Linked DNA regions of Elephas maximus indicus. The protein of the gene in region 4 interacts with the protein of the main gene of each other region in a pairwise test. Links are inferred from orthologs where the notes say so. Each region holds a gene or a part of one and is shown on either strand. Other genes may lie near its edges. The genes, in order: SPEG, BTG1, HNRNPR and PRMT1.

The links.
Region 1: the proteins of PRMT1 (region 4) and SPEG interact in binary tests that used the Homo sapiens proteins (3 or more experiments, as listed by UniProt). The two-hybrid records come from large-scale screens. The link is inferred for Elephas maximus indicus from reciprocal best matches to the Homo sapiens genes PRMT1 and SPEG.
Region 2: the proteins of PRMT1 (region 4) and BTG1 interact in a two-hybrid assay, tested with the Homo sapiens proteins (2 studies listed by BioGRID). The link is inferred for Elephas maximus indicus from reciprocal best matches to the Homo sapiens genes PRMT1 and BTG1.
Region 3: the proteins of PRMT1 (region 4) and HNRNPR interact in binary tests that used the Homo sapiens proteins (3 or more experiments, as listed by UniProt). The link is inferred for Elephas maximus indicus from reciprocal best matches to the Homo sapiens genes PRMT1 and HNRNPR.

The regions. Positions count from the first base shown.
Region 1 is NC_064824.1:118,009,006-118,016,473, reverse strand, and holds the start of SPEG (striated muscle preferentially expressed protein kinase), read right to left. Parts: upstream 3,006-7,468; 5' UTR 2,950-3,005; coding exon 2,559-2,949; intron 1-2,558.
Region 2 is NC_064822.1:156,807,333-156,815,029, reverse strand, and holds BTG1 (protein BTG1), read left to right. Parts: upstream 1-4,682; 5' UTR 4,683-5,002; coding exon 5,003-5,150; intron 5,151-6,085; coding exon 6,086-6,453; 3' UTR 6,454-7,401; downstream 7,402-7,697. UniProt on the Homo sapiens protein: Anti-proliferative protein.
Region 3 is NC_064821.1:63,785,909-63,793,086, forward strand, and holds the start of HNRNPR (heterogeneous nuclear ribonucleoprotein R), read right to left. Parts: upstream 3,019-7,178; 5' UTR 2,925-3,018; intron 1-2,924. UniProt on the Homo sapiens protein: Component of ribonucleosomes, which are complexes of at least 20 other different heterogeneous nuclear ribonucleoproteins (hnRNP). hnRNP play an important role in processing of precursor mRNA in the nucleus.
Region 4 is NC_064829.1:100,127,075-100,134,221, reverse strand, and holds the start of PRMT1 (protein arginine N-methyltransferase 1), read right to left. Parts: upstream 3,009-7,147; 5' UTR 2,939-3,008; coding exon 2,903-2,938; intron 698-2,902; coding exon 644-697; intron 400-643; exon of another isoform or gene 306-399; coding exon of another isoform or gene 288-305; intron 67-287; coding exon 1-66. UniProt on the Homo sapiens protein: Arginine methyltransferase that methylates (mono and asymmetric dimethylation) the guanidino nitrogens of arginyl residues present in proteins such as ESR1, histone H2, H3 and H4, FMR1, ILF3, HNRNPA1, HNRNPD, NFATC2IP, SUPT5H, TAF15, EWS, HABP4, SERBP1, RBM15, FOXO1, CHTOP, MAP3K5/ASK1, MICU1 and NPRL2.

The DNA.
Region 1 (7,468 bases), on a different chromosome or scaffold from region 4:
TCAAATGTGGCTTGCCACAACTCAACCTTCTTCCCACTCACTGTTGGCCCAAATCACAAAAAGCCCCTAATCTAGCCCACAGCTCCCCAAGTCTTTCAAGCCTGCTGTTCTAGCAGGGCAGCTCGGCTTGGAGACTGTCTCCTTAGCCTCTGTCTAGGTGCCCAGCCAGGGTTCAGCTCTGCCGACCATGCCACCCACATTACAGATGGGCTGTAGAAACTGCCCTGCTGGGGGGCTCTAGCATCCCACCACTCTCCCCACTTTGGGAGACCAGGGCAGGCCAGGAGGCTCTCATCCTCAGAAGGCCAGGCCTGGGCCCATCTTGTAGCAACTGCTCCCCACACACTGGACAGCTCCCCTTTTCCTCCCCCTCTTTCACCTTCCTCCTGAACTTCTTGAGTAGTAAAAGTCACCCAGAGTCCAAACTAGCAGGACCGGGTTCTCAGTTCTGGGACAGCCATAACTGGCTGTATGTCTTTAGGCAGGCCTCCTTCCCCTCTGGGCCACAGTTTCCTCATGTGTAAAGGAAGTGTTTGGAGCAGTGGTTCTCTGTAATGCTTTCCATCTTTTAATAAACATTATGACCACCACTTCCCTTCTCAGCCCTTCCCTTCCCTAATCTCTCTATTCATATTCTCATCAACCTGCCTCTCTTACCCTTAGATTTATGCTCTATTTTCAGAACCCTTTGTCTCTGAGGGGTCCAGAGCTACCAGTACCAGTTGCCACTGTGTGTCAGAATAGAACTGTGTTCCACAGGGTTTGCAATGGTTGATTTTTTGGGGAGTAGATCTCCAGGCCTTTCTTCCGAGGTGCCTCTGAGTGGATTCAAACTTCCAATGTTTCAATGTCCCTGAGAGGCCCAGAGCTAAGATCCCCAAAAAGTTCATTCCTTTCCCAGATCAGAGCTCTACCAGGATGTACTCCACCCCCTGACCCCACTCCCAGACTGGGGAAGTCTGTGCCTGGCCAAGTGCTGGGCCAACCAGGAGAAACCAACCTTGCCCTTCCCTGACCCTTTCTGTCCCATCTTTACAAAGATTCCTTGCCACAGGGATCTAAGGAACCAGTCACTGGAGATTCTAGGAGGTGGGCAGGGCGGGCTAAGGGGAGAGAGGAGATGCTACCAGAGGGAGCAGGGCCGCTGCTCCATCTCCTTACCTGGTGCACCCTAGGGCCTCCTTTCACCTCCAGCTGCTGATGTCCTCCTTTCCAGTGCCTCTTCCCAGCCCACAAGGAGTTACCCCTAAACGGCCCGACCTAGTTGGAGTGAGAAGTCCCTCTTCTCAGCAGCTACCTGGGGATGATTTTCTGGATAACTTGAAAATGCCCAGGACAGACTCAATGGCACTCAGCTCTTTGCCAGCTCCCCCAACTGCAGCTTAACCTAAAACCAAGCTCACTGTCATCAAGTCAACTCCAACTCCTAGGAACACTATAGGACAAAGTAGAACTGCCCCAAAGGGTTTCCAAGGCTGTGAATTTTTACAGGAGCAGACTGCCACATCTTCCTCCTGCGGAGTGGCTGCTGGTGGCCAAGCACTTAATCACTGCGCCACCAGGGCTCCTTCAACTACACCTTCTGCCTCAGATTTCTGTTTCCCAAGACTCTCTCTTTGGCCGAGAGAAGAACCCTTTGGCTGGCTTAGGGGCTGAGGAAACAAGAAAAGAAGACCAAAAACAGACCCAAGTAGAAATGGCTCTGGCCTGGCACCTATGCCAGCTCCAGCAGGACCGTAAGTACAGGTCCCAGGCTCATGCCCCTCCTCTTCTGCCTCAGACCATCACTGTCCCTTCACAAACAAGCCTGCAACTCTAACCCCACATGCTCAGGGACCCAAGTGCCAGCCCTGAGCATCCCTCTTCTGCACCCTCCAAACATCTCTGGAACCTCAGGTAGACATAGTTCATGGGCTTCCCACACCAACCCCACAAGCCCTCATCCCTCCTCTGCTTGTCCCACCATAACCCAGCCCGGACCCCTCCACAGCCTATCTCCACTCCCCATATGCGGGCATGTGGCTCCTCAAACACCCTGCTCCATACATGCCCACAGAGACCCTAAGCCCAGCTCCTCCCGATGCCCTGGACCCTGTTCCCACCTGTGCCCCCACTGGCCACTTCCAGCCAGCCTGCTGCTGACCACACCAACCCTGACACTGTAATGGACTGCCAGTGAATCCAGCCCCCAACATCCCAGCCTGATTAGTGATCTTAACTTTAAAGTATTTAAGCTGAAGAAGACAACTGTCCCCTAGGAGGCTTCTCTCTGCAGGGAACTTGAGGGCTTCTGCCATGGACTTCCCAGAGAGACCTGAGTAGGGCTGGGGCTGAGTGCGGCTGGGGCTTTACATGACTCTAACCTGTCATGGGGAGCCTATCTACCTGAGTCTCCCTTCTCTGCACTGCCCTCTTGGTCTGCACTTGTGGATCAGAACAGCCAGAAGCCAGGGTACCTGGAAGAAGGCAGGACAAACGGTGCCTCCCCAAAGTGGCCAGGGCCCCCTCCTTACCTGGGTGCACCCCACCCCCAGGCTGTGCCCCCACCTCTCCATTACCTCCAACTTCCAGCACTGTGACAACAGCCTCACAGGAGGCCTCGCCCCGCGCGTTCTGGGCCCTGCAGCTGTACACGCCGGCGTCCCTTGGCCCGCAGCTCCGCAGCCACAGGCAGCTGGGCTCCGGGGCCGGCGGGGTCAGGAGTAGTTGCCCGTCCCGGAACCAGCTAAGGCTAGGCTTGGGCGTCCCGCTCACCGCCACCCGCAGCCGTACGTCGCTGCCCGCGAGCACCGCTGCGGTTTTCAAGGGCAGGAGGAAGACTGGCGCCCCGGGTGCAGTCGCAGGGGCCCCTCCGCCGGCCCCCACCTTGGCCCTCTTCGGGGGCACCCCAGGGCTGGGGGGTGCCCTCGTGCCCGCGTCCTCGCCTCGCGTGCCCCGGGCTTTCTGCATAGCTTCTGCAAGCTGGACTGGGGGTTACGCTGGAACCTGGCAGCCACGGGGACACCCGGGGGATGGTGCCCTGAGAGATGAGTCCAGGGGGGCCGGCGCCCTGCAATCCTGCCGCCCGCCCGCCTTCGGCCTGTGCTACCCAGAAGGTCACCAGGGCGGCCGGTGGTTGAGCCTCGGGGGCTATTTTTAGGCCCCCCGGCTCGGGTTTCGAGGAGCTGTGGAGGGAGGGGGCAGCAGAGGAGGGGACTTGGACTCCGCTCTGCTCCTTCCCTCCCTCCAGGAGCCCCCATCGCCCGCCTTGGCTTAAACGGGTCCCTGGGGGTCTTTTTCCAAGCCCCCTCCCCGCCTTGGTGCGCCTGCCCCCCAGGCAGCCCACTCAGGCAGTCGGGTTACCCCCTGAGCTCAATCCTATTTTCCTTCCTCCTTCTTCTTAGGGCCCTAAGTCCCAGCCTCATACGCTGGAGAGAGGAGGAGGTAAGTGACCAGGGTGGGCGAGGAGCTGGAGAAACAAGTGGGGAGGCAAGCCCACGTGGAGGTGAGCAAACAGTTTGGGAAGAGGGCCTCCCCCTGCGCCTCCAGGACTGACAGCTTGGTGAACACTAAGACCAGGAGTGGGGACTCAGGTGGATTCCGGCTCCAGCTGGGCGACACCTTAACCTTTCTCAAACTTCATGTCCTCATCTGTAAAAATGGGTGGCTGAATAGGGTTTCAACAGGCTGAGGAGAATGGAAGGACATTCCAGTAGAGGAAACAGCATAAAGAAAATCAGAGCATGACGCATCCAGAGAATCAGGAGTTTGGAGTAACTGAATTACAGGTGCAAATGGTAAAGCGCTTGGCTCCTAAATGAAAGGTTAGCGGTAGAATCCACCCAGAGGTGCCTTGGAAGAAAGGCCTGGTGATCGGCTTCTACTTCTGAAAATTCACAGCCATTGAAAACCTTATGCACAGTTCTACTCTGAAACACATGGGATCACCATGAGTCAGAAATCAACTTGGTGGCAACTAGTTTGAGGTTTGTGTGTGTGTGTGCATATGTGGTGGGGTGAGGAGTCCCTGGGTAGTGCAAACGGTGAATGCATTTGGCTGCTAACCGAAAGGTTGGAGGTTCTAGTCCACCAAGACATGCCTAGGAAGAAAAGCCTGGCAATCTACTTCCCAAAAAATCAGCCGTTGAAAATCTTATGGAGTATAGTTCTACTCAGACACACATGAGGTCGCCATGAGTCAGAATCAACTCTACAGGAACTGGTTTGGTTTGTGGTAGGGTAAATAGAGGAAAGGGAGGTAGGGCCTGACCCAGGGGGCTTTTCTTGTTTTGTCTCTACCCTAAAGGCAGTGGGCACCACCACAGTGTGTTAAGAAGAGGAATAACATGGTTGTAGCTGTGTTTTAGAAAGATCTCTCTGGTGGCCACAGTGTGATGGATAGACTGGAGGCTGGAGGCCAAAGAGAATGTTCTCAAAGCATGGTACCTGTTAAAAGTACAGATTCCCAGGCCCCACCGCACAGATGCTGGTTCATTAGGGGAGAGGAGGGAAAACAGGGAGGGTTCAGGAATCTCCACATTTAACAAGCAGCCCAGGTGACTCTGATGCACCTGAGGGTTGCACTTTGAGAAACATCAAGATAGAACAGTACCAATTTTAAAAGTCCAGGTGAGATCTTCGTGGTGGAATGGTTTTGTAACATGACTGTGGTGGTGGTCACATGAATCTACACATGATAGAATGTGATAGAATTACACAGAACTAAGTGCACATGCACACATACTAATGAGTGCATGGAAACCTGGTGAAATCTGAACATGGTGGAGCCTGTGTCAATGTCCATTTCCTGGTCGTGGTATTGTACTAGACTATAGTTATGCAAGTTACTACCATTGGTGGAAGCTGGGTGAAGGGTAAACAGGCTCTTTCTGTATTATTTGTTACAATTGCATGTTAATCTACGATTATCTCAAAATTAGAAAATTGGAAAGTTCAAGTGAAAGACCCAGACCTGACCTTGAGCCCTGAGGGATGATGCCCAGGGCCAGGAGATGAGAAGTGCTGAGAGGAGCCAAAGGAGGAGCCATGAGTCGTTTGGACATAGAGAAGGGTACTCTTAATCTTGTCTCCTGGTCCACAACCCTCAGTCTCAGAGAAGCCAAAGCGTATGTGTATATGGAGAAGGCACAGAAGAAACTATTTAAACACTGAATTAAGTCCATAGGGATCAGAGCTTTAAGGGTTGGTTTGAATCGTTTTGTAGTTTGCATATATTAAAGCTCACTCTTTGTGATATACAGTTCTCTGGGTTTGGATAACTGCATAGAATCACGTCTTCACTACCCCAAGACGATACGGAGCAGTTCCATCACCCTAAACATTTGCCTATTCATCCCCGTTGTAGCCAATCACACTCCCCTCCGCCAACCCCTGGCAACCACTGTGATAAATTTTAACAGGTAAAAATATAGGAAAAGCATTGCAAACAGCTGCAGCATCAATGGCAAAGAAGCACTACTTTTTAATAAACTAATGACCCAAAGCCACCAAGCACTAACAACTGACCTGGAAAGCAGCAAGTACTGTAAATGCTGGCCGATTAATTGGTTGAATAAATGAACTGTGATCCTGGGCAATTCATTTAACATCTCTAAGCCTCAGTTTGCTCATCTATCAAATGGGGGTAACCTACTTAGGGCCTATTCATTCATTCAATAATTTTGAGTTCCTTCTATGTGCCTGGCACTATTCTAGGCACTAGGGATACAGCAGTGAACAAAACAGACAAGGATTCCTGTCTCCTTGCTGCTCACATTCTAGAAGGGAGACAAATAAATATAAATAAATAAGGAAGCCATAAAGATCGCTAGAAGGTGATAAGCACTATGGAGAAGAATCAAGCAGGGTAAAGGGGGTGGAAGTGTGGTGAGGGACTGCACTTTTAAATAAGTTGGTTGGAGCTGACCTTCCTGGGAGCATTTGAGCCAGCCTTGAAGAGGTGAGGAAGCAGGAAGCAAACCACACAGACTTCTAGGGGAGAACCACTTCAGGCAGAGGTGGGATTATGCCTGGTGGGCTCCGAGAAGAGCCAGAAAGCCATGGAGATCTGGTGGGAGTCAGGAGGAGAATGGCGAAGATGAGGTCAGCCAGGTAGCAGGAGCCAGGTCACCTAACATTTTGTAGTCCATGGTGCGTTTATTCTGAGTAAAACGGGAAGTCATTTCAGAAGGTTCTGAGCAGAAGAATTACATGATCTGACTTACGTTGTTGTGGTGGCATTAAATTATTATATTAAATATTAAAATGAATATTAACAATTTAAAAGGGCCTGGCACAGAGCCTGGAACATCTCATGCTCCGAAAATCCATACTGGGGCATTCACTGATGTGCACACAGCGGGCTGCAGGCCTCTCGGGGAGGGCACAGGCCCGTGCAAGCCGCTGGCACCCTCTTCTGGAGGAGCCCGCACCAGCTGCAACACCCAGAAGCCAGCAGGCCCTGGACTGTCGCTCAAGGCAGCTGGCTACAAGGCGCTGTCAGTCCCTCAGCCTGGGCCCCACAGTGCCCTGCGGCCTGGCACTGGTTTGGGTGTGTGTGCTGCCAGCCTGCTTGCCTTTCGATCACAAGCCTGTGGTGTCATGGAAAGAGATCTGGGCTCCAGAGGCCAAGCAGCCTGGGTTTGGGTCCTCTTCTGCCATAGACCTGCTGCGTGACCTGAGCAGGGTGCCCCACCTCTCTGGGCCATGGAGAGTTTCCTCGGAGTCATACTGATGTGCTGTGGCTGGCACATGGTAGGAACTCACTAAAAGTTTGTTGAGGCAATGAATGAAGTGGGAGCCATCAGCTCTACCTTATGAATATTAAATTGAGAGAAAAGTAAGTAAAAAGTAGCCTGGTGAGTATTCATTCAATAAATATTTAATTCTTTAAATATTTAATGAGCACCTACTATGTGCCAAAGTCCCAGGTGGTGCAAATGGTTCGCTCTCAGCTACTAACCAAAAGGTTGTTGGTTCAAAGCCACTCAGCAGTGCTGAAGAAGAAGTCCTAGTACTCTACCTCCATAAGATTACAGCTATTGAAAACCATATTGAATGCAGTTCTGCTCTGAAATGCATGGGGTCACCCACCCTGAGTCAAATTAACTTGGCAGCAAAGGGTTTGGTTTGTGTTTGTTTGTTTTCCTTTATTTTGTACCAGGCACCTAACAACAGCAACAAACCAGGTGCTTTTCCAGGCACCAGGGGTGGAGTAGCAAACAAAAGAGATAAAAACCCTTGCCTTTGGGTAGTTGACAATTTAGGTGTCCAGTCAATGGTCGTTAATGTATTATTTGCATGTATGCCCTGGACAGGCTGAGGTAAGAGGAAACAGAAGGGGAGGAACAAGGAAGGAATTGTTCCAAGGGGCAGTAGATAGATGGGAGCCAGAGTGGACAGACGGGCTTGGAAAGTGCCCTCTGAGCCCTCAGTTCCCAACTTAGGGGCATTTCTGCCTCCACAGTCCTTCCGGTTCCACCCCCTCATT
Region 2 (7,697 bases), on a different chromosome or scaffold from region 4:
AGGGTCTTCCCCTTTTTCACTGACACTCTACAAAGCATGATGTCCTTCTCCACGAGCTGGTCCCTCCTGATAACGTGTCTGAATTACGTGAGATGAAGTCTCCCCATCCTCACTTCTAAAGAGCATTCCTATTATTCTACTGAGACAGATTTGTTTGTTCATCTGGCAGTCCATGGTATATTCGATAATCTTTGCCAACACCACAATTCAAATGCATCAATTCTCCTTATTCATTGTCCAGCTTTCACACACGTTTGAGGCGACTGAAATTACCATGACTTGGGTCAGATGCACTTTTGTCCTCAAAGTGATATCTTTGCTTTTGAATACTTTAAAGAGGTCTTTTGTAGCAAATTTGCCTAATGCAATGTCTTTTGATTTCTTGACTGCTGCTTCCATGCACATTGATTGTGGATCTGAGTAAAATAAAATCCTTGACAACTTCAATTTTTTCCTCTATTTATCATAATGTTGCTTATTGGTCCAGTTGTGATGATTTTTGTTTTATGTTGAGGTGTAATCCATTCTGAAGGCTATGGTCTTTGATCTTCATCAGTAAATAACAACTTTAAATGTATTCAGTTAAAAAGACCATGTTTTTTTTCTGATATTGATGCCTTTCCTATTTGGGGAGTATTAAAATATTATATCTTTTTGCCAAAACGATAATAATAAGAGATATAATTGTAATTTAAAAAAAAAATCTTTTTGTGAAATAGAAGTTTTTCAGCCCTGTATTGATCTCTAAATTTTGTTAGTCCACAAAATACCTAAGTCCATTCCCCTACTATATATGAAAGTGTTTTGTCCCCACCCCCTTTGCCAGCACTTTGAAAATTCTGGTTAGTTGTCCAGTAGTACCTTTATAGAAAGTACTTTCTGAACTGTTTCCAGAAACCTGACATTTGTGCTTTTATTTGCAAACTTCTTTTGAAATACAGCTTTGTTTTCTGGATTTGTTTGGTCAGAATTCCTAAAATTTTTAATGTGAGAGGAAATTTTCTAGGTTTTAAAAATTAATTTGATAATAATATTGTCATCAAATAGAATATTGTGAAATGATGAGATAATAATATGGTAACATTTATTTGAAGGCTTACTTAGCGCTGGTCACAGTGCTAAAAAATATCTGTGGATTATCCATTTGTTGTTGTTAGGTGCCATCGAGTCATGAATTCCGACTCATAGTCTACCCTAAAGGGCAGAGTAGAACTGCCCCATAGGGTTTCCAAGGAGTGACTGGTGGATTTGGTTAACAGCCGAGCTCTTAACCACTACACCACGAGGGATCCTATCACATTTAAAACCAAACCAAAACCCATAGCCATGGAGTCGATTTCGACTCATAGAGACCTTTTGGACAGAGTAGAACTGCCCCATAGTTTCCAAGGAGTGCCTGGTGAATTTAAACTATCGACCTTTTGGTTAGCAGCCATAGCTCTTAACCACTATACCACCAGGGTTTCTCTATCCCATTTAGTCCTCCCAAGAACCTTGTGAAATAGGTGCTGCTATGAGTCAGAATTAGGAACCCTGGTGGCACAGTGGTTAAAGCACTTGGCTGCTAACCAAGAGGTGGGCAGTTGGAACTTACTAGCCATTCTGCTTCCATAAAGACTTACAGCCTTGGAAGCCCTACGGGGTAGTTTGGCTCTGTCCTGTAGGGTCACTATGAGTGTGGATCCTCTTGAAGCCAGTGGGTTTGGTGTTTTATTTTTTGGTATGGGTAGGAATTCGCTGGAAGGCACTTAACAATTACCCTTACGTTACTGAAGAGGAAGCCTAACGCAGAGAGGTTAAGCAACTTGCCCTAGGACACCGGCCCAGGAGAGCCCTGTAGTTTAGCATAACAACACCACAATAAAGTTCCTTTATAATTCAAAAGCTGTCTAGAAATACTGGCTTGTTTCCTGGATAGGAAAAGCCTGACTAAACTTTTGGAAAATGCTTATATACATACATACGTATATCAAAGCCCTGGTGGCACAGTGGTTAAGAGCTCAGCTGGTAACCAAAGGGTTAGCAGTTCGAATACACCAGCTGCTCCTTGGAAAGGGTTAGCAGTTCGAATACACCAGCTGCTCCTTGGAAACTCGTACTACTCTATCCTATAACGTGCTATGAGTACTATTATCGATCATCATGGCGCACTATAAACTCTGTGTTTAGGACCAATATTTTCCTGAGTGCTTCCCTCCCCCACCATATTCAGGCCCTCCAGGTAAAAGAAAACTTTCTTAAATCCATTTGTCTCTCACAGGGATGATTTACAGTGGGGAAACACACACACAAGAAAAAACTCAGTGGGGAAAAAAATTGCCTTGGAGTCAATTCTGACTCATAGTGACTCTACAGGACAAAGTAGACTGCCCCACAGGGTTTCCAAGGCTGTAAATCTTTAAGGAAGAAGACTGCCTGCCACATCTTTCTCCTGCAGAGCTGCCTGGCAGGCTGAAACTGCTGACCTTTCAGCTCACAGCCGAGTCCTTTAACCACCAGGCCACCAGGGCTCTTTTTGGGAAAACCAAGTTCTCCACAAATACCTTACACTTCCCTTTACGCCTATTCAAATGATTTCATAATTTTTTTTAAAGCAGTGCAGTTGCTACTTGGGAAGGCAGTAATGATAGTGGAGAGAACACAGGCTTAGGAGATGAGCCTGAGTTTAAATCCCAGCATTTTGTGAACTTCATTTTTTTCATTTTGTAGATGAGTCAACTGAAACTCAGAATTATTGAGGGTCCATGTCAGTGACTATGTTTGGAAGTGAAAATCACCTGATTTCTAATCTAATGCTCAGATGATGGATAATTTAGGGGAAATGAAGAGAGCAGATGATTTAGGGTGATTGGGGAAAGGGGACACCAGAAGAGCTTGTTTTAGGGTGAAGGTGATTTCATGGAATCACTTTTTAGGAATAGACTCCATGGCACTGGGTGTTTTTTTTTTCTTCTTCTTGTTATTCTTTTAGGGTAGTAAGAGGTTTCACATCCCTTCCCTCCTGCCCAGTGAGGTAATTTATCATGACCTTTATTTTAAGCAAGGTTCTGTTTGAAAAGTCCTAGAAGGAAAAAAAATTTACGTTTACCATTATTTTTGATACATTTATCCATAGAAAATTTATACTTTCATAAAAGTAAAATGCTTTCATCAATACTATTTAAAAACATTCAAGGTATTCCATTTATAACTACCTAATTACTGTGTATTGATGAAAAATAACCTAAAGGTTAGTCTTTCAACCCCAGTTTTACACATTCCATTTAAACAACAAAACTTTTTCTTCCTTGGCTCTACAAGGTCAAGCTTTTTCATTTCTATACCCCTCTGCTCAGAATTTCAAAAAAAAAAACTCAAAAGTGGTGTGTTTTGCAATATTGATGACCAACTGAGCTCAGGATATTTATTTCCATCTGGTAGAGTTCTGCCTCTTGTTTGCTTTCTCCATCTGCCTGCCTCTCCATTTTTTTTTTCCCCCTCGCTCCTTAATGGAGCTCGGTTTAACCCTCTCTTAGACCAAACCGTTTAGCAGGCCTATACCTTCGTTCCAGTTTTTTTTTTTTAAGTTCTTCAAGTAGCGTTGCAAATACATTTTAGTCTACACCTAAAACTTCCACAAGCTTCAATTTTTATATATTTTGTGTAAGGACTAAGAAAGCCCTATGGCTTGGATAGTATTTGTTTAGACCAGAAAAAAAGAAAATTTTTGGTCCTGTGGTCTACACGTTTTAAAACGCATTACAGTTTTTTTTTTTTCAACACAGGATAAGCTTTACAGGACCCGTGTGTTTATTTTCAGTAACTGGCTTTCCTACCAGCATTAAGCTGGATTCAGGTAAGGTTTCCATTCTTCTAACTTTTTAAGTTACTTTAAAACAGCAACCACAAAAAGCCCTACTTGCCTTTTATTTATTTACTTTGCAAGGAAACTTCTACAAAGACATCACCCCACTCCAGCCCCGGGGTTGAGCAGAAAGGGCTCCTTGGCGTTGGCTGCACATCCGCCAGGAGTCCCTAAAGCTGCTGCCGGTCCCTTAGGCAGAATGCGCCGCCGCGAGGGTCTGTTCCCTCCACTTTCCTCCCCACCCGGGGCGCGCCTTGCCGGCACCTACAGTACTGGCACCCACACCTCGCCCCACGCTCCTCCAGCTTGTGGACCAAGCCACGTAGACCCGGAGCGGGGACGGGAATATAAACACGGAGTACGCGCGGGGGCCGGCGCCGCGTACGTGCGGCACGACCCAAGCAGCCAGCGCGTGTAGACACAGCCTCAGCTTCAGGCTGCACGGCAATAACCCTCCCGTGGAACCGGGGCTGGGCAACGCACAGTTGCAAAAGGATGTCCTGGCGCAGGGCCTGGAGTTGCTAAAGCAGGAAGGAGGAGCTAGGGCCGGAGGAGGAGCTTTCACACGCGCACCCTCCGTTTCCTCCCCACACCCCCTCCCCTCCAGCTCCTCGGTCTCCGGCCGCCACTCGGGGTTTATTTGTTTACAAACGGATTACATCAGCTCCTCCCTCTCTTCCCGGCCTCTGGGCCCGCCCCCTAGCCCCTTTTCCCGCCCCCTCCGTCTCCGAATCTGCGTGCGTCACAATGGTGCGATCTCCGGATTGGCTGGCTACGGCCGTCACGCTCCAGCTACGCCACTTCCTTTTCGAGGCGCTATAAAAAGTGCTGCACGGCCCCTGCGTCTCTTCGCCCCTCGGAGCTGGAAATGCAACTGTTGGGAAGTTCAGAGGCTGCGGAGCTGGAGGCGGAGGCGGCTGGGGGGGTCCGAGCGATGTGACCAGGCTGCCGTCGCTCGTCTCTTTCTCTTTCCTGCCGACTCGTGTCTCGAAAATAACTTTTTTACTAAAAAGAAAAGAGAAAAAAGTGTCGTCCGCCCCTCACACCCTCTTTTCCGCTCAGTTACTGCCCTGTGAGGGAGCCCGGGGTGGCCGCTCCGCCGTCGGGGCCGCGCCGCCGAGCCCCGGCCGCCCCGGGCCGCCCCCCTCCGCCGCCCCCATGCATCCCTTCTACACCCGGGCCGCCACGATGATAGGCGAGATCGCCGCCGCCGTGTCTTTCATCTCCAAGTTTCTCCGCACCAAGGGACTCACGAGCGAGCGACAGCTGCAGACCTTCAGCCAGAGCCTGCAGGAGCTGATGGCAGGTGAGCGGACTGCGGGGAACTGCGGCGCCGGGGGGGACGCGGACCCCGAACCCCCGCGCCGGAGTCGCGGCCACAGGAGCTGCAGCCGCGCTCGGGTCCCGTAGTGGGACGCGGGACCGGACCGGCCGCTAACGGCGGGTCCCGGCGAGTGTTTGGGGGCTGGGCCGAGGGCGCGCTCTCCCCCTGGCTGGCACCCGGGGCGGGGGGCGAGGAGGGAAAAGGACACAGGCACAACAAAGAAACTAAAAGCAACTAAGCTCAGAAGCTGCGGTGCGGTTCGAAGACCGTCGGCGGATTTGGGGACAAAGGAGCCGCGGGGCTGGGGTTGGCTCGACCCCCCCTCCCCCAACTCCCTGCAACCGTCGCGGGTCGGCCGCGGATCGGTCCCGGGGTGGGAAGCCGCGCCGCTTTCCCGGAGCCAGTTCGGGACGGACGTGCGCTTTCCCCGCACCTCCTACCGCTGGCCATTAATCATCGGATTTGTCACCGGTACAATTACAGCCCTGCCCAGAGCGTGGTTTAGAATTGCTTGTTTTTCTTTCTTTCGTTTGTAACAGTCCGGTGGTGGTTCTCTCGTCCAAAGCCATAAACTCCATTGTGTGTGCCTGGGGTGGGGTGGAGAAAGTAAACAGGTTCCCGCCTGGCCGCCGGTGCCGTTCGCCTGGCCGAGGCTGCGTGAGTGATTCCTGTTCTGTTGGCTCAGCGGGCTGGTTTGTGTAGACTGTTTTGTCCCGTACTGTGCTGTTTCTAAAACCCTGCCTGCTCTTTGCTCGTCCCCGCACACGCACAGCAGCTAATGCAATTCTGGACATTTTTAAAAGTTGAGAGGTTTTGTTTTTACTCTCGAAATGAGTCAACAGAAGAAGGAAATTACAGCGGGAGCTAATAGTAACGATCTAAGCATTGTTTCTCTGTTCTTCCTTTTTTTTGTGTAGAACATTATAAACATCACTGGTTCCCAGAGAAGCCGTGCAGAGGATCGGGTTACCGTTGTATTCGCATCAACCATAAAATGGATCCTCTGATTGGACAGGCAGCGCAGCGGATTGGACTGAGCAGTCAGGAGCTGTTCAGGCTTCTCCCCAGCGAACTCACGCTCTGGGTTGACCCCTACGAAGTGTCCTACAGAATCGGAGAGGATGGCTCCATCTGTGTGCTGTACGAAGCCTCACCAGCAGGAGGTAGCACTCAAAACAGCACCAACGTGCAAATGGTAGACAGCAGAATCAGCTGTAAGGAGGAACTTCTGTTGGGCAGAACAAGCCCTTCCAAAAACTACAATATGATGACTGTATCAGGTTAAGATATAGTCTATGGATGCATCATCTTATAATGGATGGATAAATTTGATTTTTGCTTTGGGTGGGCTCCTCTTGGGGATGGATTATGGAATTTAAACCATGTCACAGCTGTGAAGATCTGGCACAAGATAGAGTGGTAAAAAAAAATTTTTTTTAAGTGACAGTGCCATAGTTTGGACAGTACTTTTCAATGATTTAATAGCCTGTGAGTCCAAGTAAATGATCACTTTAATTGCTAGGGAGTGAAGTTCTAGGGTGGTTTAGTTTCTTCCAGACGTTATTATACCTAATTTTTACATCAGTCCCTTTAAACGCAAATCTGTGTTTCAAAGAACCTTTCTCTGCAGTAGATCTTGCAGAGGAAATTTGCACTATTACACTTGAAAATTGTTAACCTTTTTGGCAGCTCAGTAGGAAAGCTCAATGTTTTAAACACAGTAGTACTGGAAATTTTATGACAAGACTTTTACCTAGCACTTAAATATGTATAAATGTACATAAGACAAACTAGTAAGCATGACCTGGGGAAATGGTCAGACCTTGTATTGTGTTTTTGGCCTTGAAAGTAGCAAGTGACCACAATCTGCAATGGCAACAGGCTTTAAAAAAGACCCTTAAAGACACTGTCTCAACTGTGGTGTTAGCACCAGCCAGCTTTCTGTACATTTGCTAGCTTGTAGTTTTCTAAGACTGAGTAAACTTCTTATTTTTAGAAAGTGGAGGTCTGGTTTGTAACTTTCCTTGTACTTAATTGGGTAAAAGTCTTTTCCACAAACCACCATCTATTTTGTGAACTTTGTTAGTCATCATTTATTTGGTAAATTATGAACTGGTGTAAATTTGTACAGTTCATGTATATTGATTGTGGCAAAGTTGTACAGATTTCTATATTTTGAATGAGAAATTTTTCTTCTCTCTATAATAAATTGTTTCTTATCTTGGCATTTTAATCAATCTCTTGTCATGATTATAGGGGTTCAGGTATAAATATTTTTCTCAGAAGCCTAAGTTCTGTAAGCTGTGTGAATGTCAGTTGCATACTGGTCGTGCCGAAAATCATTTGATAAGGAATGAAGATGATTTGTGTATACATATTTAGGTGTTAGAGGAACACAAAGGTAACATTTTTTGAAGTATAAAGTCAAAACATGGACACAAATGCACAGGCTAATTCATGAAATGAGAACAAGAGACAAAGGTAACATCTACCAAAAAGATACTCAGAGGATTACATTTTACTGCTTCT
Region 3 (7,178 bases), on a different chromosome or scaffold from region 4:
TGTACACTTGGTTAAACAAAGGCTGGAATTTATCGATGATTATTATTGATGATAGGATCGCTGATTAACAAAAGCAGCTGTTGTGTCCTGGTGAGCATATCAACAAGTCACCACAAAATTCTAAAAGTCCCTCAAGCTCTCAATTCTTAAAACAGTTTTTAGAAGTTTGGTTTACAAACAAAATGAACATCCACAGACCACTTAATCAAGGTTTTTAAGGATTTCGAATTTTCCTAGCTCTGCTTTGAATCCAATAAATGCCCTGTTGTCTCTAGTTCAACATGGTGGTCGTTTGGGTTTTCTCCACCTCACTTAAAAGAAAACACAACTTGTTGTTAATTTTTGTTCTAAAATTAATTTGCTATTCCCGTTCACAGATTTAAAAGAAAAAATGACCAAGATTAAAAGCTAAACAATTGTTTTAAGTCCACATAAAATAAAAAGTGAGCTACAGTTGAGGTTACTTCTTTAAAAAAAAAAAAAGTATACGTTGAATTTTTTCATTTCAGTAAAATAAAGCTGCAAAATATTTTTGAAGAATGGACAGCTAACTTCTTTCAAATAGTTTCAATAAGCATTACCTAATTAGGATAAACTTAGGTCATATTTCTAAGGTTAACCCTACCAAAAATGTTGTATGTTCAGCCATTAAAGTAATGCTAAAATCTACTTCCTGAAGAGAGAGAGAGAGAAAATAAAACCATACAAGGCCAGTCTCCACACTGCCTCAGAAGACAGAATTGAGGTTAAAGGGCATCTCTGTCTGTGGTGAAATTAGAATTTGATGAAGATAACAGGCAGCAGAGTAAAGACACTGCAACACAAAATGGACATGAAAGTGGATCTCAGGAAAAAGCCTACTTTTCTTGATGAAACTCAAGATAGCTAGTCAGCTATAAAGAAATATGCAACACTAAGACACGTAAGATAACCACACTTCCAGTGCAGTTTTCTGACTTAAAACAACTTCTTTCCATTTCAAAGTCCACCGATATTTAGTTGAAGTTAATGAAAGGGGAAGACCAAGAGTGCAAGGAAGTAACAGAGAAGGAAAAAAGGAAAATGCAGAAAAAGTTACTCTAAAAATGAGATAAACAGTATCATGACTTCGTATGATTACAAAACGTAAGATTTGTTAGCCCTCTAATGTCCATATACAGACACAGACTTTGTGGTTAAACTCTGAATGGATAAATGTTCCTCAAGGCAAGCCTCAAATTTTGATAAACTAGTAAAAATGAAAACATTCAAAACTGCACACTTTTTATCAAGAAACTGCTTACTGCTTATTGTGTAAGATGAAAAGGTTTACGGATTAATACGAAGATGCACCCTAAAGTCCAAAATCTCCTTGTGAAAATATCGTTGTTTTCCCACGCTCCCCCACTCCCAAAATACAACCATAAGATCATCAGAACTCAAATGTTCTCAGTATCACAAGACTCTTATAGCACTGCACCTTGGAATACTATTAATCACAGAAAGGAAGCAAATTTTTAACAGAAAAAATTCAATGAAAATCTGTTAAGGTGGTACTGTTTTAAAAGTATGTGTAAAAGCAAAAAAGACAAGTTGTGTATTAAGCACAAGATAGAAATATTCATGACTACTATTTAATTGCAAAGGCTCTACAAGTTGATACTGAAATTGAAATAATTTTCAAAAAGTTTTTGTAAACTTTTAACAAAAAAAAAATACTTTAATTAGATTCCGGAAAAATCAAACCTTTCAGATCAAGGAAAAACCTTTCTTGAGGCCAAATACAAAGTGCTCATTTACAAAAGACTTTCATATCATATGAGACCATTTAAAACTCTTGTGTCAATTGAACACAATGCCACACAGCCAAACCATAGTTCTGGATGCAGCAAATATACTAATATGACCGGAGTCATTGGATCTAAATATTGTTGCAAAAAGTAGAAATTAAAATAAGATTTAAAAGGACTGCTGGGAGATTTGGAAAATCAGCACTAGACCCTCCCTTTTTCTGAACATCTCTGTGCAAAACTCTTCATGTTAAGAGACAAGCTTTAAAAGAACCAGCGAAATGGAAACTAACGGTTATCTCATGGCTTAGGAGGGTCAGTCCCTTGTCTGACTCATGAGAACGTAAATTCAGCCTCTTGAGATAGCAAAAGTCGCAAACAGGTAGTGTGAGAGGGCTGAACCTTTCAAGAACCCCTTGGCTTCAATTTTTAAGTTTTGGCAACACGGTTACTACCGTATTAGAAAAAGAATCGCCTTTCCAATTTAGTGCGCCTATGACATTCTCAGAATTACACATCTTAGGCGCCGCTCGTAGCCTAAGTTTTACGGCCTCTAGTAGTCATTTTTTCCTTCAAATCTCGGTTCCCAGCATGCAGGATGGGGGAGGGGAGACGCTTCCCACACAAATCGGCCCTCCAGTTTCCGCTCACACTAAAGTTTTCTCCGGGCTCAGGTAACCCCGGGATTTGCATCCCGCCCGCTGGCCACCCCACCCCCTCACGGCCGTCCCGAGCATCAACACAGCCCACTCGCGGCCAGGCCGGCCGAGACGTGAGCGAAGCCGCTCCAGTGGGGAGAGACGCTGTGGCCGCGAACGCCGCAGGTCCTTCGCCGGACGCGGCCGCATGGAGCGGCAGACCGAGGCGGGAAAAACGCGGCCGACTCGGCAGGACGTACAGACGGCGCCCGGCGGGCCGGACCGTGGGACGGTGGTCGGAGTAGGATGAGCGAAGTCAGAGAAGAGCCTCAGCGGGGCTAGGCCCACAGCAGCTCGGCCGGACCAGGCCGAAGCCGCCCCCAGCCCGTCCCCACCCCCACCCCGGGGCCTCGGAGCGGAAAGCAAACAGGGGACATGGCGCCGAGCCCCGGCAGGACCGAGTCGGGTCAGATCGGGGCTCCCGGCCCCTCCCCCCACGGGCCGGCGCGAGACTCACCAGGGCAGAGCAGGGGCCGGCGGCCGGGCCCGTGAGAATCAGCGCGAGGCGCTTTGAAAACGACTAGAAATGGCGCGCGCGCCACCCCCTCCCCCCCTCATGGACAGAGACGCGATCCCGGCAGCACGCGGGGTTTCCCGGAACTGCTTCCAGGGACTCCGAGCTGCTAGGCAATCACATCGCGCGGCTGCCTGAGAGGCAACTCAGGCGACCAATAGCAGCGAGGAGAAGAGGACCTCAGCCGGACGACTCGAAAGCCAATCAGTGGAGTCGTCGGCTAAGCCAATGGCGGTACTCAGCGCCGGTGGCTGGGGCGCCTCCGGGGCGGGGGCAGGCACACAAAGGGGTCTATAGTGGAAGCCCCTGGTGGCGGCGAGGCTGCGAAGCACCGGGCCCTGGATGGCGGAGGCTCCTCCTCCTTCGTCTGCCGCCGAGGAGACGCCGAAAATCTAGGCCCCGCGCCGCGTGGCCGCCTCCGGAACCCCGCCCCCTACCGTCCGCGCCGGCCTCGCTCGGCTGTGGCTCTCCCGCCCTTTCGCCGGCGTCGCATCGCTCCCTAATCCTCGCGCTGTTGCCGGCGTTCGCCCCAGACACGCCCATCGCCACGCGTTCGGGCATCTGTCTAGGTCATCTTTTTGGCTCTAGTTAGAACACAATTTAAGGGTGATTAGGCTCGTCATTTTGAAAGAGAATTTTTTATAGAAAATCATCCCCTGTAATGATCAGAAAACTGGCTCTTTGCCTCCTTGGCTCCCTTCTTATCATTGGTGGCAGCTCAGAATTTGAGAGAAATAGCTAAAACACGGGGAGTGTTTCCTTCTGTTGTGCGTAGGGTCGCTATGAGTCAGAATCGACTCATCGGCACCTAACAACAACAACAACAGTTAAAGGCATGACAGTATCAAGCACAAAAGATAGACCAGAAACATTTTTCCCACGGGGTCTGGAGCTAATTAATATCCATAAAGTAGATAAGGCAGATATATGCATCTACGAAGCCGGAGGAGCGGTGCCAATGGAGTCTTATTACCGTTATTCCTAAAACTATTTCTCACCCTCCACCCCTACCGCTTGGTTCTTGCCCTCACCTTCAGTCTAATCTTGTCTTGTTCCACAGAAACCCTCCAAGCTTACTTCTGTGGGATTAGACCTTCCTTCCTTGCCTATCCCAACTTCTAAGGCCCCATTTCTCTTAAGGAGTGGAGGAGATAAAGCAGTGGTCAGCAGAATTGCCTCATAAACTCGAGGATCGTTTAAATTTCCCAGAACCTATCAATCAAAAATTAATGATTGAAAACCTAATATGTGCTCAGTACCGAGCTAAATGCTGCGGTTTTTGTGTTATGGGGCATAAGACGTATACAAATGTTAGGGTCTTAAAGAAAAATAATATAAAATGGCAAGTTTAGGAGGAGTCTTGGAAGTGCATGTTTGTAAAAGTGAGGGTCTATGAAGCTTGAACTTTGCCCTCAAGTCAATTCAGACTCCTAGTGACCCTATAGGACAGAGCAGAACTGCCCCATAGGGTTTCCGAGTTTATAATCTTTATGGAAGCAGACTGCCACATCTTTCTCCTGCAGAGCAGCTGGTGGGTTCAAACCACCAACCTTTCACTTAGCAACCCAGCAACTAATTACTGTGCCACTAAGGCTCTTTTAAACACTATGAGCTTCACATATTTTAGTCTCTGGCTCAAGGGCTAACTTTTGCACCATATCATTGTGTTAAGAGTTTTTAGTTGTCCACAAGTTGATTGCAACTCATGGAGATCCCATGTGTTACAGAGTAGAACCACTTCATAGGGTTTTCTCGGCAGTAAGTGCAGTAAGTTAGAATCACCTGGAAGGTTGATTGCCAAGCCTTTCCTTCCACAGTACTGCTGAATGGGTTCAGACTGACAACTTTTAAGTTAGCAGTCTAGCACAAACCATTTGAGCCACTTGGGGACCTTTGTATTAAAGGTTGTGGTTAGGTGCCATGGAGTCAGTTACAACAGAACAAAACACCACCCGGTCGTTGTCCATCCTCACAGTGGTTGTTGCTATGCTTGAGCCCATTGTTGCAGCCACTGTGTCAATCCATCTCATTGAGGGTATTCCTCTCTTTTGCTGACTCTACTTTACCAAGCATGATGTCCTTCCCCAGGGACTGGTCCCTCCTGATAACAGAATTTGAGGGAAATGTCCAAAGTACGTGAGATGAAGTCTTGCCATCGTTGCTTCTAAGGAGCATTCTGGCTGTACTTCTCCCAATCATTTACGTACGTTTAAGTATGGCTTAGGGAGCCCTGGTGGCACAGTGGTTAAGAGCTCAACTGCTAACCAAAAGGTTGACAGTGCAAATCCACCAGCCACGCCTTGGTAACCCTGTGGTGCAGTTCTACTCTGTCCTGTAGGGTCACTATGAGTCAGCATCAACTCAATGGCAATAGGTTTGTTTTTTCTTATGTAAAGGAGCCCTGGTGGCACAGTGGTTAAGCATTAGGATCTAATTGAAAGGTCAGCTGTTCAAACCCACCAGCCACTCTGAGAGAGAAAGATGTGGCAGTCTGCTTCTGTAAAGATTACAGCCTTGGAAACTCTATGGGGCAGTTGTACTCTGACCTATAGGGTCAATGTGAGTCAGGACAGCAATGCTTTTTTTTGTTTGTAAAGTATGGCCTAGCTATAAAGACAAAAGGTACCTTAATTGCTCGGACTATTTTCATGAACCAGATACAAAAAGCCAGACTTAGTTCTTTGTCCCACTGTGGTGCAATGGACTGTTTTTATATAGCCTTTCTTGCCACGGTTTTGTAACTTCCATCAAATGATTGGGTGGGACTATGCAAATAAGGTGCTTGTGGCCCACCAAGGGGATTGGACAGCTTGCTAATAATGCAAATAATGTGCATGGACCCTTAGGGGGACCATGCAAATAAGGTATATGGAACCCTAACAAGGGGATTGGTCAGTTTTGCCTTCCCGCTAGGGAGACACAAGAAGAGAGAGAGAGAGAGAGAGGAGCTCTAACACAGAAGACAGAGAGGCAGCAGTGGCAGGAGAGCCAGGACAGAGACGGAGGGCTGTAACACTGGAGATGGTGAAAGGCAGCAGAACCAGGAGAACTGCAGGAGACAGCACTGTGGGCTTCCAGGCTTACGGAGTGAGAGCTGAGCACCTTTGGGCAGAGGTTTGCTGGCTGAGTGGGGTGCCTCAGGGCACTTAATGGCAGAACTAAAACAGCTTTGTAACACTTGCCTGAGCAGGGCAGAGGCCAGATCTAGGGGCTGAGGGACAGTGAGAGACCTGCCTGCAACATGGCTGAGAAGAGGCTGTCCTGATGGAAGAACTGTATCCTGAGTGTTCCTGAACCCTAATTGTAACCTGTTACTTCCCAAATAAACCTCGTAACTGTGAGTATGGTCTGTGAGGTCTGTGTGGCCATTGCAAGGAATTATCAAACGCAGCAGAGACGTAGAGTGTTGTGGGAGGAATGTTGGCATCAGAATTTGTAAAGAAGGCGGAGAGAGGAGGAATGTCTGACCTCTGCCTCATGGGAATCAGCCTTGGGCTGTTGATCTTGATTCTCCTTCCCCCTTGTGAAGTTAGAGGAAATCAGACGCTATCCCTACACCATTTTTACACCCACAGATATTTAGGTGCCAAATCCCCTACCCAGCTTTACTTTAAAACTTCAGTTCTACCTCAACATTTCTCTCCTCTTGTCAAATGGAGCTACTTACTTTCTTCATCAAACTTTAGTAATTTTTATTATTTTAAAGTACTTTCCGAAATGGTGGCGCTCCAGTCAAGCCCTGTGCTAACAACTGACTAGAGCTGAAGGTTTTGTCTTTCATTTCTACCTCCTAGGATTATGTTTCTTTTAAAAAATAAAGTGCCAAACTCACATCTAACTACAAATTCCATTCTCTTAACCCCTATGACACACAGTCAGAAGAGTTGAATCAAAAAAAAAAAAACAAAACACCAAACCTGTTGCCATCAATTCTGACTCACAGCAACCCTAAAGGACAGGATAGAACTACCCCATAGGGTTTCCAAGGCTGCAATCTTTACGAGAACAGACTGCCACATCTTTCTCCCACAGATCCGCTGGTGGGTTTGAACTGCCGACCTTTCAGTTGGCAGCCAAGCGTTAACCACTGTGCTACCAGGGTTCCTTCAAATCAAAATCAGTAAGGTTAAATGTCTGTCTTTATAAGCCTTCACATTCCCACACCTGGTGCTGGTAGTCTCTGATTTTGAAACTTTT
Region 4 (7,147 bases):
GTAATCTTTGGACGTCATGTCCTCGGCGTTGGGCTTCTCGCTGCTCTCTGCCTGGCCACAGGAGACCTGGGAGAGGGCGGATGGGAGCATGGGTCAAATCTGGGGGCTCCCTGCAGCCTCTCAAACCTCCAGGTTCCTACTTCTGCCTGGAGCATGTAGACTCCACCAAAGGCTTACCACGGCAACCCTACAGCCCCCTCTGCCATTTCGCCTCCCCCAGGAACCCCAAACCCCATTTTCCTCTTCCAGGCCCCCCGAGAGCACCATCCAGGAGGGCACCCCGATACCTCAGCCACGCCTACCATCTCTCCAGTCTCTCTGCCCCCGTCTCTAGCTCAGCCCACAGCTGGGGAGGGGAGGGGAAGGCAGGGCTGGGGCAGACACAGGGCCGGGGGGCAAGTGGGGACTGGAAATGGAGTTAAGGAAGTAGCCACGGTGTTGGGGAGGCCAGAGGGGGGCTACAAACCTGGAGGGGACCGTACTAAGTGTTTTTGGGGGCACGGGATAAACTAGTTTGCAGCAAGAGGGATCATGGTTAGATTGCTGGAAAGGCTGGACCGCCAGAAAGGGCCTGTCGGTGGCAAGCTAGATTGAGTTGGAGGTGAGGTGAGAGTGGGGAGGGGTCTCACAAAAGGATATTTACTTCTTCAAGAGGCGGCTGGAGGCTCATCCCATTAGCCAAGGTGGCTACAAAATTCTAGGAGAGAGTAACAGGGAGAAAGGATTAGCTACTGGGAGTGGCTGTGGGAGGGACAGGCCAGGGTCGGGGGTTCAGAACCAGGGCTCTTGGGGAGGGGGTTCCCTGCAATTTTCCTTTTTCTTGGTGGGGAGTGGTGACAGTGTGAAGAGGCAGGGCTGTTTCAAAAAGGGGTCAGAGAAGTGGGGGAGGCGGGTAAGGGGGTTCTCCTGTCCCAGCTGTGGCTGGAGAGATGGTGGCCCGCCCCTACACTGTCCCCTCCAGCCAGGCACTTGACCGCATACCTCCCCCACCCACACCAGAGAACCTGGCCCCCCGCCGGGCACACGGGCACTGCCAGCTGTCGTCCTCCTCCCTCTTAATCCCCCCAGATTAGGTGACACTTCCTGACACACATCCCCATCCTGGGGTGCCAGGAATAGCTGGGGGGCCTGGCAGAGTATGCCCACTGGGCAACCACCACCTCTGCACACCAGTCTCTCAACTGAGAGGGTTCCAGAAAGGAGGTGTGGCACGCAGACACCCCCACCAGAGCTGGTAACCCAGCCCCTAGGCTCCTGTCCCAGGTGCAGGAGCACAAAATAAAACCAATTAGAACCAAGCCCCTCTCTATGACCAGGAAGGCAGTGTCTTGGGGAGCCCGGACAGATTCTGGAGCCTCTTAGGAAGAAGATGGACCAAGATGTGGCTCCAAGAGTCAGACCCCCATCTTTCCCATTCAGACACCCATCCCAGGCCCCGAAGCCCCCCAGGTGTGGGGCCACGAGCTGAGGCAAGCCCCGGGGAAGGTTATTTGCTCCACCTATAGAGCTCTGGGTCCAGGAGCGAGCCAAGGGAGGTGGGGGCATTGGAGTGGCCTCTGGGAGCTGTCCTCCAGTGGTATGCATCTTGGGAACTGACCCTCCACACTCCAGAAAAGGCTATAAGATAGGGGGCTGGGGTACAGACGTTCCACCAGATAACACGTCTTCCAGATGTGACCACCCTCCCTCCAGGTTCCAGGAAGGGCCAAGTCACAGGCCATGAGCCACTGGCCGGTAAGGATGCCCATAAGGGCAGCTGGTGAGAAGATTTCCGACCCAGGCCCCATTTCCCAATACATCTGACACCACCACCACCAGACAACCCTGGCCTAAGAGGCCGCGGAACACAGGACTACTCTCCCCACACGGGTACACGAAAACCAAGCCTCACTGGAAACCATTTCCCTGCACCCAGACTCAGGACACCCACACAGGGATTCAGAAAGGGGGGTCGTCCGTGGGAAATGCCACAGGAAGAGAAAGGGTTCCAGTAAGCGGTAAAGCTTTGCGCTCATACCCTGTCAGATCGCCTTCCCAGCGTTCATGTGCCCCCTTTTGCCCGATAGGGATCCAAGGAAAAGGTGGGCTTCGGGACACGCCCCGTGAAAAAGCTGTCCCTCCCACACACCCAGAAATGGCCACAAGGGGGTGCACGGCACCTTATCTGGAAGGATGGCCTCCATCCCCCCACCCAGAGAGAGGTCAAAGGGGCATGCCCCATCCCCCAGCTCCTAAAGCCCTGGGCAAGGGGAAGAGTTCAGGGGCAGGAAATTGGGGCTGGAAGGAGGCCGATTCTTCTCCTTCCTCCAATCCCAACCCAAGAGGGCTCAAAACCTGGACCTGTGCCCCAAAAGATGCCCCGGAACCTGGGGAGGGGGTTGTACAGGGTCGGAAGGCACTGAACCTCACAGGAGATCCACTACATCGCAGTGGGCCCAGGTGAGTCCCACCCCCCCGGTGTATGTCCCGATTCCCGCGGACAGGGGTTCGGGGCCTTCGACGCAGGGTCGGAGCCTCCTCCCCGCCCCCCGGCGCCCCTCCCCCGGCTGGAGGCGGGGCCTTTGTCCCGCACGTGGAGCCCGCCGGGCATCCGGGCACGGCACACCCCCTCCCCACCACCCGGTCGTGGCCACGTGGGGGCTCGGCCGGAAGCGCCCCCAGCCCGCCTCCACGTGGGTGGGGGGTTGAGACCCCTGGTTCGGCCAGCTACCGCAAGGCCCCGAAAGCTAGGGAACCTCCCACCTCAAACGATATCCCCAGATCCGGGGCATGCGGCGCCGTCTCAGTGCGGCTGGGTACCTTCAGCCCCAATTCGCCGACTCGGAGCCCCTTCCCCCACGAAGGACCTTAAAACGCAGACCCCAAACCGCTTCCCGACCCCGGCGGCGCTCCGAGCTCTCACCTCCATGATGCAGTTCGCGGCCTCGGCTGCCGCCATCTTCACCCGCAGCTACTCCTCCTCTGGCGGCCGAGACCCCCCCTTTCTCCGCTTTCCCCCGGGACCGTCTTATACCGGAGGGTCCACGGCCCGCCCACCGCAACTCCACCAAGAGATTTCATTGGCAATGGGGGCGGCCCGTCTGGAAATACCGGTTAACAATTGGGTAAAGGCGATATCGAGCAAAGCTTAGAGGCCCGCCCAGTCTAGCGTGCAGGACCCCGCCCCCTCAGGTCGAACGGGATGGGGAAGACGGCCCGTCCATCGCAAGAAAACGGAGTGGTGATTGGGCGACGTCAACTAGAAGTTCCCGCCCCTTCCCCCAGCACCGCCTCTAAGCTTCCCGGCGGGCCCCGCGCTAAGCGGACATCTTGAAACAGAGCCATCCATCACCAGAACGGCCCGCCTCTTATCGCTGCCATTGGTTTATCCAGAGGGTGACGTCATGAGGTCTTTAGCTAGCCCTCGCCAACCTCAAGAAGAACACGGCAATTGGCCCCAGAGAGGGGAGGAAAGCCGGACTTTGGGTCCCAGCAATTGGCTCAAAGGAACTGTCACTCATCTTCCTTTCGGGGGTATTCTTCCTGCCGGAGGGGACTCTAGGAGAAAAAAGGGAAACTGTTTCCATTTACCTGGGGGAAAAAACTGAAGCAGAAAGAGGCCTAGAAAGAGAGCAGGTTTGTCTGGGGTCTCGAATCAAGTCAGACGTCAAAGCATTTAACTCCTAGCCGTCTACTTAACGGTTCTAAGTATTTTAAACACAACAACCCATCTGAAGCCTCTTGGCTTTTATCCGAGCCCGTCTCCCTGCCGGGAACAGCCTTTGTCTTACCGACTCCTATACATCCATCAGAGCCCAGCTTAGACACTACCTCCTGTGGAAGCCTTCCTTGGTCTGCAGAAAAACTAGTCGTTGAATGAAGATGAATTCGCCTCTCCTGTCACCTATCCCACTAACTCTCCTCAATCCAAACTTCTCTCCAGTCCCGGGATGAGCTCGCTCTAGTATCTCTGGGTCTATACCTAGGCTGTGGTCCCCGACATTCCTTCCTCCCTGGTGAACTCTTAGGTGTGTAAGGTTTCCAACATCACTTCACACTTACAGACACTCCTAACACCCACCATGACGCCCCCGCACTGAGGACGTCCTCTCACAGCCTCTCTTCTTCCCGGATGCCCAAATCAGGACAGCTCCACCTCCCACCGAGTCACCAGCCAGGGCAGTCAGCCCCTCGTTCCCTAAGTATGTCATTCCCCAGCCCTGCCCCTCCTGCCCTGACTCTCGGCCAGTACTGTCCTCGTCCTCCTGGACCATCGTCCCAGACTCCTCCCCTACCTCTCAGCCAACAGTTTCCATTCAAGTAACCCACATCCTCTTGTCCCCAGAGCTGACCCCGCCCCTCCTCAACTCAAAGACTTCCCTTGGCTCCCAAGCACCCCCAGGACAAGGTCCCAGCCCCCTCAGCGTGGTTAGCTGCCGCGATCATCTGCCTGGCCTCAACCACCCTCCCCATCACTTCTGCCCTAATAAGCCCCTCCTACGTCCCTGAGGGAAACCCTGGTGGTGTAGTGGTTAAGTGCTATGGCTGCTAACCAAAAGGTCGGCAGTTGGAATCCGCCAGGCGCTCCTCGGAAACTCTATGGGGCAGTTCTACTCTGTCCTATAGGGTCGCTATGAGTCGGAATCGACTCGATCACTGGGTTTGGTTTTTTTTTATTTTTACTTCCCTGAGCTCACACCTTTCCCACTTTTGTGCCATTGAACACCCCCTTACTTTGTTCTCCAGGGGAGAAGCTAACACTTCTTTATCCTTCAAGACAAACTCCTTACCACTTTGTTGTTATTTGTTGTTAGGTGCCATCAAGTTGGCTCTGACTCATAGTAACCCTGTGTACCCCAAAGCCAGTGCTGTCGACTCGATTCCGACTCATAGCCTATGTAGAATAGAACAAAACACTGCCCCAATCCTGGGCCATCCTCACAATCATTGTTATGCTTGAGCCTATTGTTGAAGCCACTGTGTTAGTCCATCTTGTTGAGGGTCTTCCTCTTTTTTGCTGACCCTCTACTTTACCAAGCATGATGTCCTTCTCCAGGGACTGGTCCCTACTGGTAACACCTCCGAAGTACGTGAGACGAAGTCTCGCCATCCTCGCTTCCAGGAAGCATTCTGGCTGTACTTTTTCCAAGACAGATTTGCCACTTTGTAGGTTTGGCCAAATATGGATCAAGCTTACCAACAGGCATTAATTAGTAGGCACTAGCCACCCTTCAAGGAGCTCTGTTGGCCCAATGGTTAAGGCACTCAACTGCTAACTGAAAGGTCTGTGGTTCAAACCCTCCAGCCACTCCACGGGAGAAAGACCTGGCAATCTGCTTCCATAAAGATTTACAGCCTTAGAAACCCCATGGGGCAGGTCTGCTCTGTCACATGGGGTTGCTATGAATTGGCACCTAACAACACAACAGCCTGGGTGGAGGGTGGCCACCCGTTGCTATCAGGTGGATTCCGACTTTATGGAAGCAAATTGCCAGGTCTTTCTCCCGCACAGCAGCTGGTGGGTTTGAACCGCTGACCTTTCCAGTTAGCAGCTGAGTGTTTTACCCATAGCACCACCAGGGCTCTTCCATAAAAATTACCATAAAGATTGCCATCTATGACTTCTTTCTGGAGGGGAGATGTGAAGGAAGAGACGGGCAGGCGCTGGCTGAACGAACACGGGGAATACAGGGTGGAGAGGAGGAGTGTGCTGTCTCATTAGGAGAAGAGCAGCTAGGAGTACATAGCAAGGTGTGTATACCTTTTTGTATGAGCGACTGACTTGATTTGTAAACTTTCACTTAAAGCACAATAAAAAAAAAAAAAAAGATTGCCATCTATTCAATTCTGACTCATAGTGACCCTATAGGACAGAGTAGAACTGCTCCCTAGGGTTTCCAAGGAGCAGCTGATGAATTCGAACTGTCTACCTTTTTTAGTTAGCAGCCAAGCTCTTAATCACTGCGCTACTAAGGCTGGCCGTAAAGATTACAGCCAAGAAAACCCTAGGGAGCAGTTCTACTCTGTAACACGTGGGGTCACCATGAGTCAGAACAGCAACGGGTTATGCCACTCTTCTAAAACTTTTATATAAATTCATTCATTTAATCCTCCCAGCAGTACATTGAGGTAGGTACTATCATCACCTCCATTTTACAAGAGAGGAAACTGAGTGAGGTAAAGTGACTTGGTCAAGGTCAAACTCCTAGCAAGTGGCTGACCGTGTTCTGATCACAGGATGTCTGAAAACAGAAATTCATTTTTTAGTTGTTGCTGTTTTTTAAAATCAACTTTATTGAAGGTGTAATTCATATAAAATAATAAGCACCTAATCACATGTAATTTGATAAGTTTGATATATCACATACATAGAGAGAGAGACAGCCTCTGTCAAGGTGACTCTGACTCACGGCAACCTTATGCACAACAGAAGGAAACTTTCCCTGGTTCTCATGATTGCCAGCGTGTTTGAGTCCATTGTCATGGCTATTGTGCTAATTTATCTCAGGATAAGTCTCTCTATCCCTTGCTGGCCCGCTCCTCCACCAAACACGATGTCCTCCTCCAGCAATTATTCCCTCTTGATAATATTCTGTGAAGGGGTCCAAAGTGAGTTGGACAATGTTCGGTTATGATCCACAGGGTTTTCACTGGTTAATTTTGGGAGTGAGACTTTGTCTCACATACTTTGGATGTCTTATCAGGAGGGACCAGTCCCTAGAGAAGGATACCATGCTTGGTAAAGCAGAAGGTCAGTGAAAGAGAGGAAGACTGTCAACCAGGTGGACTGACACAGTAGCTGCAACAATGGGCTGAAGCATAACAATGATCATGAGGATGGTGCAGGACCAGGCAGTGTTTCATTCGTTTGGACATAAGGTCACTATGAGTTGAAACCAACTCGATGGCAACTAACAGGAACAACAACATCATCAATTTTTGGAATAGATCGCCAGGCCTTCTTAGTCTGTCTTAGCCTGGAAGCTCCACTGAAACCTGTCTACCACAGGTGACCCTGCTGGTATCAGAAATAGTGGTGGCATAGCTTCCAGTATCCTAGCAACACACAAGCCACCACAGTATGACAAACTGACAGGTGGTGAGACAAGTACATTACCAACCAGTATGACACCTGGGTTCTCAGTTACTTTACCCAATTAATACAAAG